2 linked regions of the Macaca fascicularis genome follow. The protein of the gene in region 1 binds, or shares a complex with, the protein of each later gene. Links are inferred from orthologs where the notes say so. Each region holds a gene or a part of one and is shown on either strand. Other genes may lie near its edges.

What was found.
Region 2: the proteins of CSF3R (region 1) and CSF3 are in contact, whole or in part, in a crystal structure (PDB 2D9Q), measured with the Homo sapiens proteins. The link is inferred for Macaca fascicularis from reciprocal best matches to the Homo sapiens genes CSF3R and CSF3. Residues at the interface, in NP_000751.1 of Homo sapiens: Arg164, Arg190, Lys191, Leu193, Leu194, Leu195, Tyr196, Gln197, Asp220, Met222, His261, Ile262, Asn263, Arg311, Pro313, Leu314; in NP_000750.1 of Homo sapiens: Ser42, Leu45, Lys46, Glu49, Gln50, Arg52, Lys53, Leu141, Asp142, Asp145, Thr148, Thr149, Gln152.

What each region holds. Positions count from the first base shown.
Region 1 is NC_088375.1:198,452,125-198,458,564, reverse strand, and holds the end of CSF3R (granulocyte colony-stimulating factor receptor), read right to left. Parts: intron 6,168-6,440; exon of another isoform or gene 6,119-6,167; intron 6,027-6,118; coding exon 5,838-6,026; intron 5,446-5,837; coding exon 5,344-5,445; intron 4,409-5,343; coding exon 4,262-4,408; intron 4,151-4,261; coding exon 4,010-4,150; intron 3,840-4,009; coding exon 3,746-3,839; intron 3,500-3,745; coding exon 3,418-3,499; intron 3,125-3,417; coding exon of another isoform or gene 3,119-3,124; exon of another isoform or gene 3,018-3,118; coding exon 2,547-3,017; 3' UTR 2,283-2,546; downstream 1-2,282. UniProt on the Homo sapiens protein: Receptor for granulocyte colony-stimulating factor (CSF3), essential for granulocytic maturation. Plays a crucial role in the proliferation, differentiation and survival of cells along the neutrophilic lineage.
Region 2 is NC_088390.1:61,074,772-61,081,823, reverse strand, and holds CSF3 (granulocyte colony-stimulating factor), read right to left. Parts: upstream 3,708-7,052; 5' UTR 3,673-3,707; coding exon 3,633-3,672; intron 3,457-3,632; coding exon 3,302-3,456; intron 2,920-3,301; coding exon 2,812-2,919; intron 2,664-2,811; coding exon 2,517-2,663; intron 2,375-2,516; coding exon 2,210-2,374; 3' UTR 1,343-2,209; downstream 1-1,342. UniProt on the Homo sapiens protein: Granulocyte/macrophage colony-stimulating factors are cytokines that act in hematopoiesis by controlling the production, differentiation, and function of 2 related white cell populations of the blood, the granulocytes and the monocytes-macrophages.

The sequences.
Region 1 (6,440 bases):
GGAGCTCAGAGACCGGGTTCCCGCTGCGCGTGATCGGGCCGTGATGGTTGTGTGCCCACGTTTAGCAGTGTGTTGGGGTGCTGTATAAATTCTAAAATGCCACTTTTTGGAGGGCATGCATCCCGTCCTTAATCTCTCAGTACATTCCTGGCCCTCGGGCCGGGGTTATTGTGGGAGATCCATGGCGCCTGCGGTAGCCTTCTACCCCCAACCCAATCCCTTCTCCACCCCACCCCTCAGTCCCTTAGTCAAGGATGGGACCCTGTAAGAACTAATACTGGATTTCAGCCGTGTCTCTGGCAGCCTGGTAGCCTGGAGACTAAAGTCGTTGAGTTTGGAATCGTACAGCCCTGGTCTGGAATCCTAACTCGGCCATTTACTCAACGTGTGATCTTGTGGGCAAGTCACTTAACCTTTGTGGGCCCTGTAGGGGTAGTAATAACAATATCTCTCCTTTAGGTTGTTGAGAGGATTAACTGAGGCAGTTGTATGCAGAGCACATGGTATATAGTGAGCATTTAGTAAATCTTAACGGTGATGTTATTTGTGAAACAGTGGTGTAAGGGTGAATACAAATTAGAAGAAAAAGAGAATTTAATTTTCCCTGGAGCAAAAAGGGAAAAGACTCCTTCTTCTCACTTTTCTGAAAGCATTTACTTTAGAAAACTTGTAATTGTGAATACTTTTTCTACTGCTTAAAAGGTAAATAGGCCGGGCGCGGTGGCTCAAGCCTGTAATCCCAGCACTTTGGGAGGCCGAGACGGGCGGATCACAAGGTCAGGAGATCGAGACCATCCTGGCGAACACAGTGAAACCCCATCTCTACTAAAAAATACAAAAAACTAGCCGGGCGAGGTGGCGGGTGCCTGTAGTCCCAGCTACTTGGGAGGCTGAGGCAGGAGAATGGCGTAAACCCGGGAGGCGGAGCTTGCAATGAGCTGAGATCCGGCCACTGCACTCCAGCCTGGGCGACAGAGCAAGACTCCGTCTCAACAACAACAACAAAAATAAATAAAAAGGTAAATAAACCTCTTGCCAGTTTTACAACCCCGGAATGTTTTTCTCAAGGACCTGGGAGCCAACTCTTTGAAATGTAATAATTAAGGAGGATAGTGCTCTCTCTCTTAGTTCCTGTGGGAGGGTAGGAGCCTAACTTCAGTTGGTGCCTAGCTCTTAGTTGCAACCTACCCCTTGTCATAAAGATAGGGGAAATAGATATTTCCTTTGGATAAAGGCAATTAGCAGACACAGGTGGCTTCCCACTTACCAGGTAAAAATTTTTTTTTTTTTTTTTTGAGACGGAGTCTCACTCTGTCGCCAAGGCTGGAGTGCAGTGGCCGGATCTCGGCTCACTACAAGCTCCGCCTCCCGGGTTCCCGCCATTCTCCTGCCTCAGCCTCCCGAGTAGCTGGGACTACAGGCGCCCGCCACCTCGCCCGGCTAGTTTTTTGTATATTTAGTAGAGACGGGGTTTCACTGTGTTAGCCAGGATGGTCTTGATCTCCTGACCTCGTGATCCGCCCATCTTGGCCTCCCAAAGTGCTGGGATTACAGGCTTGAGCCACCGCGCCCGGCCACCAGGTAAATTTAGAGTGGGTGCCGCCAAGTCCTCTTGCTTGAGGACCAGTTATTGTTTATCTTGAGAAAATGGATACAATAAATTGTATTCACTTGGCTACATGAAAGGGTAAGATTTTTCTCTCTTTGCAGTCTCTTTAGTGGATCACCAGTGTATCACATTCTGGTTTAATGCTTATTCAATAATACTGTTTTCTTGCTTTTCTACCCTTGTGAAGAGGTTTTCTGGATTGGCAGGGGATTTTGTCTTAAATTATATTTCCCCAACAGGGGTTAGTTTTTTCCAAAGTCTCTTCACCGTGTCCCACCTCACTCTGTCACTCCCCCCATGTAACCCATGCCACTGTGCACTAAGGATCAGTTTTCAAGTCCCCACCACTAGAATGGAGCCCTCTGAGGGTGAACTGAGCTGAGTCATTTGCATAGGGCCTAGATGCTGAGAGCTAGCAGAAGGAAGGAAGGGAAAGGAAGGAAGGAAGGGAAAGGGAGGAAAGAAGGAAAAGGGAGGAAGGAAGGGAAGGGGGAAGGGAGGAAGGAAGGGAGGGGGGAAGGCAGGGAGGGAGGGGGGAAGGCAGGGAGGGAGGGGGGAAGGACCAACTCTGAGAAGTTTCCCCCTGACTGCTGGGCCCTGAAAAATAAATAGCAGAGACTCAGGTACACCCAAGAGTGTCTATAAACAATAACAAAAACTCCAAACCAAAAGCTAGTTTACAATACTGAAGTTATAGGAAACAAGTACAAAAGGCCATTGGGTGGGGCCGGATGGAGCATGATCTGGTCCTTAAAGTATGAAGATTGCCTGGGAGGCCCAGCCTATGGAGACTGGCGGGAGAGGGGATGCTGGTGGCTGGAGATGGGGAGAACCTGGGCTGGGGTAGTTTTTAGTCATGGGCTTCTGGACCCTCCCCTCTCCTCCAGCTAGCTCAGGCCTTTAAGAGGCAGGCCCAAGAAGGGAACCCCAGGAAGCCCTAGAAGCTTTCCAGCCCCTCCACCCCATGGACTCGGATCCCCTGCAGGAGGGGGAAGTCGAGCAGTGGCCCAAAGACACAGTCGTCCTCCTGGCTTGGGGCTGGGGTTACCAGGGTCCCCAGGGGGCTGGCCTGGAACCAGAGGTTCTCATAGGACTTGGGGCTGGGGGTGAGGCCCGCCAAGAGGGGCTGAGTGGAGTCGCAGCGGAGATAGTGCCCTGGCCCTGGGCTTGTGGGGCTGCCCAGCAGCTGCCCGTAGAGGACCTGATTGCTGGTGCCAGACTGGGATTGGGGCTGGGCGGAAGCTGCTCTTAGGTCCCCCTGGAGCACATAGGTCTGGACCAGAGTGGGGAGGCCACAGGTCTCTGAGCTGTTATGGGACTCCCAGGGCAGTGGCTTCTTCTCGTCCTCCTCCAGCACTGTGAGCTTGGTGATGGGTGGCATGCCCAGGCCAGGCAGCTGGAAGGCCTCCTGCACACAAGGATGTGGGGTGAGGGCACGGCTCCTTTCAGATGTCTGCCCCAGCCACCGTCCCTGTCTAGGTCCAGGCAGTTGTGGGGACATTCCTGCTGTTACTGCTGGAACACAAAGGGTTCCACTTGCAAAGCACTGGTATGTTCCTCACACATGCCTGACACATGCCATGCACCGTTCAGGCTCAGCATGGTCAGTTTTTCCATATCACAGGGAGGTGGCTGAGGCTTTGAGATGGACAGAGCTGGGATTCAAACTTGGGTCTGCTTCACGCCAAAGGGAGGGGGTGTTGCCGGAAGTGACAGGAAGGCCTGAGTACTTGGCTTCAGAAGGTGTCCCTTCACTGAGCCTGGGCTGACATCCCCACCTCATTTCCCGCTCCCTCCTGGATTCTCACCTCTTCCATGATAGTGGGCACCCAGGAGCCCAGGCTGCTGTGAGCTGGGTCTGGGACACTTGGCCAGAGGGGATTCTTCCTGCTGGAGAGGAGGGCAGGGGGAGGCTGGGTCAGACATACCCTCCAATCTTTCCATCCTTTGTCCCACCCATCCCACCTGAAGAGATGCAGCTGCCCTTAGTGCAGAGAGAAGAAGCTGGGGGCTGGGACTCTCAGACATGGGCCCTAAAGTTTGGGAAGGTTGGAAGGGACTTAGATGGGCCCACCTGGACCTGAGGTTCCCTGTGGGTGGGGGAGGCAGGATCTCAGGTCTCTCAAAGGGACTCACCTGGGGCTGCAGCAGAGCCAGGCAGTTCCACAGAGGCAGGAGAGCAAGAGCAGGAGGCCGAACAGGCCCAGGAGGATGTGTAGCTCGGATCCCTCTGCAGTGAGGGCAGGGCCAGAAGAAGTTAGAATGCATGTGGGGAAGGCTGGGTCTCCTCCCTCCGACCAGGGGATTCAAAGTCAGTCCCCATCTACTCTCAAAATCAGCATCCTTTGGGTGGGGTACCCTTCCAATAGCCATCTCTGCCCAGCCCTCGTCTCCCCTTACCTGGGATCAAGGTCATCAGGGTGAGGACTGTACCATTGGTGGCGCCGGCCTGGCTGGCAGCCATGAGGTGAATGTGATACAGACTGGCGGGCTCCAGGCCATGGAGGACAAAGCCACGGGAAGAGGCATTCAGGATGGTGGCTGGGAGGGGTGTACGGTCAGTGTAGGCCTGGATGCTGAAGCTGCCTCCATGGCGGCTGAGCACCCCCTCCCGGGCCTTCTGGGGCTGTGGGGAACTGAGGATAGACTCACAGAACGACTGGTTTTGAGCATTGGTCCAGAAGATGGTGTAGTGGGTAAGGGGGCTCTTCCCCAGCTCAGGGGGCTCAGGCACCCACTCCAGCTGTGCCCAGGTCTTGCCAATGTGCTTTAGATGCAGCTCTGGGGCATGGCGGGGGGCTGTGGGAAGAGAGAGGTGCAGGGGCTGAAGGGAGTGGGGCAGAGCAAGAGCCCGATTGGACTTCTTGTAGCTTCTCAGGCACTGTGGGGTGGGTGAGAAAAGAGTCCAAGGGGACTCATGCCCAAGCCTCATTTTCCCAGGGATTTAATCCAGATTCCACCTACTGCTAATAAGTATCTAAGCCAGGATTTGAACCTGGCTCTGCTTGACTCTGGAGCCTCACTTTCTGATTTCTACCAGGCCTGATTTCATCTGATTTACTCTCTGATTTCTGCCACTCACTCTCCGAATTTATGCCAGGTCCTCTGTCCAATTTCTTTTGCTTTTGTTTTTGAGACAGGGTCTCGCTCTGTCACCCAGGCTGGAGTACAGTGGTGCCATCTTGGCTCACTACAGCCTCGACCTCCTGGGCTCAAGCAATCCGATCCTCCCACCTCAGCCTCTCAAGTAGCTGGGGTTACAGGCACACACCACTGCACCCAGCTAATTTTTGGTTGATTGGCTGGTTGATTTATTTATTTATTTTTCTGTAGAGACAAGGTTGCCCAGGCTGGTCTCAAACTCTTGAGCTCAGGGGATCTGCCTGCCCTGGCCTCTCAGAGTGTTAGGATTACAGGTGTGAGCCACTGCATCCGGCCCCTCTGTCCAATTTCTGTTACATATAACACCTTATTTTTGTCTGGGAAATGGATTGATTTTTGCCAGGTTTGCTCCTTGAATTGTGCCAACTCTCTACTCAATTTCTATCACAGCACCTGATTTCTGTCCAGCTGTAGGGATCCAGTGTTAAGCCAGGGGATTGGGAGAGATGCTCTCCAGGGCCGGAAGTATGGTAAGAAGGCAATGTTCCCTATACTGCTGATTGCTGGGGACCAGGCAGAGCCTTGGGAGAGAGAGGAGAGGATTCTGGAAAGGGGCCTGATGGTTGACGAACCCATTTCTTGGGAGTAGGCATAGACATGCTGGGAGGGTCCCATGGCGTCCTGGTACAAGGGAGTCACAGTGATCTCATAGAGCTGAAAGGGCCTGATGTTCTCTGTAGAAAGAAAATGAGGTAGGCATTCCTGTTAGGAGCTAACCTGTGCTAATGATCCGGAGCTAGCCTCAGACCTCTAGTCAGGGCTAACCTGGGCTCATGATTCAGGGTTAACCTCCGCCAATCTTCTTTAGATCATTTGATGAAAATTAGGGAAGAAAAGTAGAAGAGAGAGCTAGAAGGGTGGCAGGGTCAGGGCTATAGAAAAAGGATCAGGTTGGACTATAGGAGAACTTCCTGATTATGAGGATATGAAATGAGAACAGTGAAGGATCAAGAAAGGCTGGAGAATCCATGTCTCTTGGGCAGTTCAGGTTGCCCCATGCCTATTGTCAGACAAGCACTGCCTCCCTTTGTCCCTGGCCCTGCCCAACTTTCCAGGCCAGCCTTACCCTGCAGCAGAAACCCCGTGGCGCTCCCGTTCTGTTCCATCCTCCAGGTCTTGTTGCTATTGCTCGTGCTGGGGGGGCTCAGGCCCCACTCAATCACATAGCCCCGAGGCCATGGACTGGGGGGCTCCCAGCCCACCCAGAGGCTGTGAGGGTCTCGGGCCATGGCATGGAGTCTGGTCAGGGCTGGGCCTGGAGACGGTGGGAAATGGTGGAATGAAGGTGAAAAGAATGCAGGCCCTGGAGCCAGAAGCCTGGGTTCAAATCCTGGCTTTGCTACTTACAGGCTGGGTGACCTTTGGTAGGTCAACATCTGAGCCTCAGTTTCCTCATCTGTAAAGTGGAAATGATGATAAAAGTTCCTACCTCATAGGGTCTCAGTGCAGATTAAATGACTTGATGCACAAAACAAGCCCGGCATAGTGCCTGGCACAGAGTAGTTCTTGTTAGTGATAATAGCTAACACTCTATGGTTCTTGGTATGTATCAGGCGTAGTCCTTGATATATTTTATTTTAGTTTACTTTTTACTTTACCTTACTTTATTCTTTTCTATTTTATTTTATTTTTACGCGGAGACTTGCTCTGTCACCCAAGCTGAAGTGCA
Region 2 (7,052 bases), on another chromosome or scaffold:
GTAATCTTACTTCTGAGGAACTTTCTAGACGCAGAGAGTGTGTGTGTGTGTGTGTGTGTGTGTGTGTGTGTGTGTGTATATATTTTGTAATATGTGAGGGAAATCTACCTTTGTTCATGTGTAAATAAAGCTCCTCGTGGATCCCTTTGCGACTGTGGGTGCTGTTGGTATCAGTGTCACCCGGGGCGGGGCACAGTGCTCTCTCCCTGGACTGCCTGTGCTGTGGCCGGGGAAAGCGCACTCCTGTGGTGAGGAGGAGGAGGAAGAGGTGCAGAGGTGGCAGGGCTTAGGGTCCTATGTGGACTTGCTCAGCTGAGGAAGGGCCAGGGGAAAGCAGCTTCCCTTCCTTGGAGCCAAGTTGGCCGGCCTGCTGCCCCTCCCGCAAAGCCAGCTGTACCCTGAAAGGGGAGAGGCTTTGGCTCAGGGCCCCACAGTGCTGGGGCAGGGTGGCCTGCTCTGCTTTCTCCCGAACCTGGCCCAACCCTACCCACACTCTGACTAGCCTGGGATTTGGTCTGTTGCCTCCAAAAAAGGACTGGGGGATGGGAGGCGGGGGGATGAGGGCCGGACCTTTCTTTAACCCTTCCTTGCCTGCCTCACACGTCTCCGAGCCTGGCAGTGGACACTTCTGACCCTGCTTTCCGAGGAGCCACGGGCTGGGGAGGTGGGAGGGACCGAGGAGCTGAGGAGGACAAGGCTTGGGCAGATAGTGGACTGGGGGCTGGTGGGGGTACCCCAAAGCCACACAGGAGTCTTTGGCTGCAGGCAGGCCTCACACCTGCAGTGTGGTCGCTGGCCCCCGTACTTGCCACAGCTCCACACCCTCCTGTGCTGTGAGCTTAGCGCTCTTCAGCTTACGGGGCTGCTGCACCAGCTGGGGCAAGTGCAGAGACTGAGCCTGAGGAGGAGAGAAACTCCAACTTGATGGATGGGCTCAAGTTTATGGAAGATGGTAAGTGACAAGCCTGGTACAGATGCTCAGCACTCCCTGGCTTCATCTTGTCTGACTGTGTCTGGCCTGTTAAGCCCACCTGGACCCCATGTGCTCTCCTTTCCGGGTTCCCATGGTCCCAGTGCCTCTGTCTTCCCTGCGCGGCTGTGGCTGCTCATTCCACGTCTGCCTTGTTCCCTGCTGTGTCCCCAGCACTTAGCCCAGCGTCTGCACAGAGTGGGTGCTCAGATAAACACGTGCTAATGGAATGAATGTCAGACGAACTTGAGAACCTTCCCCCTTCTCCCTGGACCTCCTCCCCGACCTCCCTCAGGCCTCTCCCACCCTTCAGCCACCTTCCCAGCCCCTGACCAGGCACCAGCTGGACTCAAGAAGGAGGAAGGACATGACTGGAGGCAAACACTTTATTATCCTGAAGTTTGGTTACAATGCGACAGTGGAGGGGACACTGGTGAGTCGGGGGTGAAGAGGTGGAGGGTGACAGTCGAGCTTCCTTTCACACACACGTCTGACATCATTCCTCCTGTCTGCTCCCTCCCACATCCCCAGTCCCCGTCCAGCAAGGCAAATGTCCAGGCACCTGCCCAGCCCTAAAAAGAGTCATAGTCTTGACCCTCATGGGGGCAGGGCAGGTGTCCCGAGGGCACCCAGAAAAACAGGAGACACGTCGGTGATGCCTGAGTTCCTCATGCGGGGAGTCAAACCATGTCCCAAAAGTCTTAAGAAGAAAAACGAGATTCCCCAGCAAGTTCGTGGGACCCCAGGGCCATGCTTCCCAGCTCTGGCTGCCTCTGCTTGTCCAGGGACCTCACACCCAAAGGGATGGAGGGGTTGCTGTGCAGTCGGCTGAGGCCAGAGTGAGGGGTGCAAGGACCCAGATGGGGAACACTGCTGTTTAAATATTAAACAGGGATTTCTTGTCTCCCACGTGGGAGACCTGATACTCCCAAGGGCCCCAGGTGGGGACCCTCGGGACCAGGGGCTTACTGTGGCTCATCCCAGTGCCCACTGCAGAGCCAGGGCTGGGGAGCAGTCACAGTAATAAATACTTGGTATTTACCTATCTACCTCCCAGTCCAGGGGATGGGAGGACAGGAGCTTTTCTCACTGCTACAGGCAGGAGAATGAAACTCAGAAATGCAGGGAAGGACACAGAGGCCTGGGGCTTTGTTCTGCTCTTCCCTGTCTTTAAATATGAGGCTTAAATAGGCATAAATATTAAATAGAGATAAATACATGGGATGGGGAGGGCTTGGCTCAGGACTGGGCAAGGTGGCGTAGAACGCGGTACGCTAGCTCCAGGAAGCGCTGCAGATGGGAGGCAACCAGGACGCCTCCCGCCCGGCGCTGGAAGGCAGAGGTGAAGGCTGGCATGGCACCCTGGGTGGGCTGCAGGGCAGGGGCCATTCCCAGGTCTTCCATCTGTAAAGGAAAGCTGCGATCAGTGGCTGGGCCCTGCTGAGTGGGTGTTATTACAAATGAGGAAATGCTGGGGGCTGACAGGCCCGGCTGCGGTGCCCAGAATGCCAGCATGACCTTGGCAACCCTGCCCAACAAGGCTCACCTGCTGCCAGATGGTGGTGGCAAAGTCGGCAATGTCCAGCTGCAGTGTATCCAAGGTGGGGCCCAACTCAGGGGAGATCCCTTCCAGGGCCTGCAGGAGGCCCTGGTAGAGGAAGAGGCTGCTATGGAGTTGGCTCAAGCAGCCTGTCTGGGAGACAGAGCGGAAGAGTTAGGGGGTGCTGCCTGAGACCCTCCCATCAGGCCCCCGGCTTGGAGCCTGGAGACCTGGGGGAGCCCATGGGTGTCCCTCCTTTCCTTTCCCCTCCTCATCAGCCTTATCCTTTCCTGACACTCACCAGCTGCAGGGCCTGGCTGGGGCAGCTGCTCAGGGGAGCCCAGGGGATGCCCAGAGAGTGTCTAAGCAGCACCAGCTCCTCAGGGTGGCACAGCTTGTAGGTGGCACACTGGGGATGGAAGGATGCAGAGTGAGACTCGCCGTGGCCAGGTCGCCGCTCCTCCTTCCCTGGTCCTCTCTGATTCTCTGGTCTTTCCCCTCCCTCCATGTCTTGCCAGGCTGTTCAGTTCCTCTCTGCCCTGCACCCCCACCCTCTGATCTCACAGCGGCTCTTGTCCTGAATGTGATGCCTCCACTCCCATCCCAGCCAGCCCTCCCGAGCACTGTCCCCACCAAGGTCCTCCTCCCCAAGTCCCTTCCCAGCCTTCCCCAGCTCCACCGCTCCTAATATTCTCCCACATCCCTTCCTGAGGATGTCGGCCCACAGTTCCATCCCCCTTAGCTCTCCCCACTGGGCTTCCCTCCACAGCCCTCTCGCCCGCCTCACTCACCAACTTCTCCTGCAGCGCGGCACCGTCGCCCTGGATCTTCCTTACTTGCTCTAAGCACTTGAGCAGGAAGCTCTGGGGCAGGGAGCTGGCAGGGCCCAGGGGGGTGGCTTCCTGCACTGTCCAGAGTGCGCTGTGCCACAGCAGCAGCTGCAGGGCTGGGGACAGAGCAGGCTCAGGAGACATGCTGTTCCCTACCACCTGAGGCCCTCTCGGGGACACTGGGTGCCTTTAATCCCCATTCCCAGAACGGGGATCCCCAGCCCCTCTGTCACACCAGCCTCCCTCCCATGCCAGGGCGGGCAGCTCTCCCATTCTGGGCCAAGAAACTCACCCATCAGCTTCATGGGGCTCTGGGCGGCAGGTATAGCCATGGGTCTGGGTGGGGCTGGGCTGCAGGCTCCGGGCTGTTTTGGGGCCCAGCTCCAGGGGGGCCTTTATACATAACGCCACGGAGGCCTGGGAGGAAATTACCTGGGGCCACGACTAAGACTTAGTAATAACTTCCCAGGATTTATGCAAATTTGATGTCCAAGACAATGCAGGGGGGTTGGAACAAAAAGCTGTTTGCGAAAGTTTTGTGAAATTGTGGAATCTCTGATACTTCTTTGACGTCGCCTTGCCCCCCTCAAACTCCCTTCCTCCCGCTGCCCCACCCAGGCCTGAATGGTCCCAGGGTGTTTGAACAGAACAGCTGAACAAAGGCTGAGCCGCTGGTAGATGCCTGGAGGCGGCAGCAGCCTGTGGGGAAGTGGCGGCTGAGTGGGGTCTCCCTCTGCTCTGGCAGACTTGCGGGGGCAGTGTCTTTGCCCCTCTCCTTTGGGATTCTCAAGCCTGTCCCCAGAGCCCCCACATTCTAAGAGAGAAACTGGTTGCCCCCATTCCTACCCCCAAACTCTCCAGAGGCTGCCTGTCTGGGTGACCTCCTGAGGGCCCCTACCTGAGATAAGGACATTGGGTCTTGGCTGCAGTGCCCACCCCACACTTGGATAGGCACCATCGAAAGTTCCAGGCTGTCCTGACCCAAGCTGATTAGCTGGGAACTCCCCCAGAAACCCCCCTGACCCCATGACTCATTCAGTTAAGCCCCTGGAATCCCGGTAGAGCCCAGAGGAAACCGGATGTCTGTCCCAAATGAGGCAAGACCCTTCGAGGCGATTTTTTCACCTGACCTTCACCTCCTCATGCACGACCCTGACAGCAGGGTCCCCAAGGGCTTTGGAACTGGGGGGTTGGGACACGTGACTTCCCTGGCCATTCACCTTGAAGTGGACATGGGTTGGCCTGAGAGAGGGGAAACTGTCCCCATCTTCTCATCCTAGAACCATGCAACATTCATGCTGGAAGGGACCTTGGAGTTGGTTCCAGCCCTGTGAACTGTGCCAGGGAAGGAAGTAGCTTTGCCCAAGGTCATGGTAAGCGACAGAATTACAGCCCGGGCCCCTGGCTTAGGCCTGAACATTTTCTTTTTCATTTTTTTTTGTCTCCAGATGGAGTCTCGCTCTGTCGCCTAGGCTGGAGTGCAGTGGTGCAATCTCGGCTCACTGTAAGCTCCGCCTCCCAGGTTCACGCCATTCTCCTGCCTCAGCCTCCCGAGTAGCGCCCGCCACCACACCCGGCTAATTGTTTGTATTTTTAGTAGAGACAGGGTTTCACCGTGTTAGTCAGGATGGTCTCGATCTGGTGACCTCGTGATCCGCCCGTCTTGGCCTCCCAAAGTGCTGGGATTACAGGCGTGAGCCACCGCGCCCGGCCTAGGCCTGAGCATTTTCTACAGGCCACGGGGCCTGCCTGGGACAGTCTGACTGACCACACCCAAGACTGTCACTTTCTGTCCTAATTTACCTCAGCCTGCCAAGAAACAGACATCTCTGGATGGTGGACGTGGTGACTAGGTGGGGCCATCTCTGGTACTTGGGGGCCCCCTGGTGGTCACCACTGGCAGGGACATCACCTGCTGATCTCACACGCTGTCATCTGGTCCCCTGTCCTGCAGCTCCGCCTCAGCTCCGTGGCTCAGCACCTTGCAGTGATGGGGCCCAGTTCAGTGCCCAGCTCCCTGGGAGTAGAGGGTGGGATTTTGTTGCTGTTGTTTTTGTTGTTTGTTTGTTTTTTTGAGACTGAGTTTTGCTCGTTGCCCAGGCTGGAGTGCAATGGCACAATCTCGGCTCACTACAACCTCTGCCTCCCTGGTTCAAGTGATTTTCCTGCCTCAGCCTCCCAAGTAGCTGGGATTACAGGCATGCACCACCATGTTCATCTAATTTTGTATTTTTAGTAGAGGTGGGATTTCACCATGTTGGTCAGGCTGATCTCAAACTCCTGACCTCAGGTGATCCACCCACCTCAGCCTCCCAAAGTGCTGGGATTACAGGCATGAGCCACGGCCCCTGGCCTTGAGGGTAGGTTTTTTAACAGGACCATGTAAGGCAGAAGCTCCACATTCTTAAACATGTTGCCTGGCAACTATTGCATCGCATACCTCTTATACGTCAGGCACTTTTTTTTTTTAAAGACAGAGTTTGGCTCTTGTTGCCCAGGCTGGAGTGGCTGGAGTGCAATGGCATGATCTCAGCTTACTGCAACCTCTGCCTCCGGGTTCAAGCAATTCTCCTGCCTCAGCCTCCTGAGTAGCTTGGATTACAGGCATGTGCCACCACCGCCACCACAGCCGGCTAATTTTGCATTTTTAGTAGAGATGGGATTTCTCCATGTTGGTCAGGCTGGTCTTGAACTCCTGACCTTAGGTGATCTGCCCGCTTCGGCCTCCCAAAGTGCTGGGATTACAGTCATGAGCCACTGTGTCAGGCACGTTTTATTACACTTTTGTCCATTTTATTTGTGGGGGGAAACAGGGTCTCACTCTGTCCCCCAGCCTGGAGTGCCGCGGTGCAATCACAGCTCACCGCAGTCTCCACCTTCTGGGCTCCAGTGATCCTCCCACTTGAGCCTCCTGAGTAGCTGGGACCACAGGCACGGACCACCACGCTCGGCTAATTTTTTTTTTTTTTTTTTTGCAGAGAGAGGGTTTCACCAGGTTGCCCAGGCTGGTCTCAAACTCCTGGGCTCAAGCCATCCACCCACCTTGACCTCCCAAAGTGCTAGGATTACAGGTGTACAACCAACTGGTGGATTGTAGCCAAGGGAGGGCCTTGGAGAAGTGAAAAAACTTGTTCAAGATCACAGAACTACCTGGTGGCTGAACCAGGTAGGATTTGCAGTTAGATCATCTTCTCAAGCCCCTGCTGTTTCTGTGATACTACTTTCCTGTCAAGAAAGCTGTACCTCTTGAATAACAGCTCAATCCAGACTTCAGCCCCACACGGGGGAGAATAAAGACCAAACAGAGCAAGGGCTCATTACCACCGGCCATGATACATGGGACTGAGCTGGACTGGAGGCTCAGAAGCCACAGTGATCTGACAGGGGGCAGGCTCCAAAGACCCCCGTTAGTCATCCTTCCAGCATCCAGAAGGCTGTCCCAGGTATTTCTTCATGTTTAGAAGTGGCTGGCAGCTTCCCCTCCCACTTCCTGTTTTCATCTGGTACTGGGCTTAGTGCATCTTTGTAAAGATCTGGAGTAACTCTCATTTGTTGCTGGGGGGAGTGTAGATTGTAAAAAAAACCTCCTTGGATGGCAACTTGGTAGTGTCTAGTTAAGGTGGAAATGTCTATGCCCCGTGACCAAGCGACTCTACTTCTCAGGTATGCCTCAGAGCAGGAGTACACAGACCTGAGTATGTACACTGAGTTA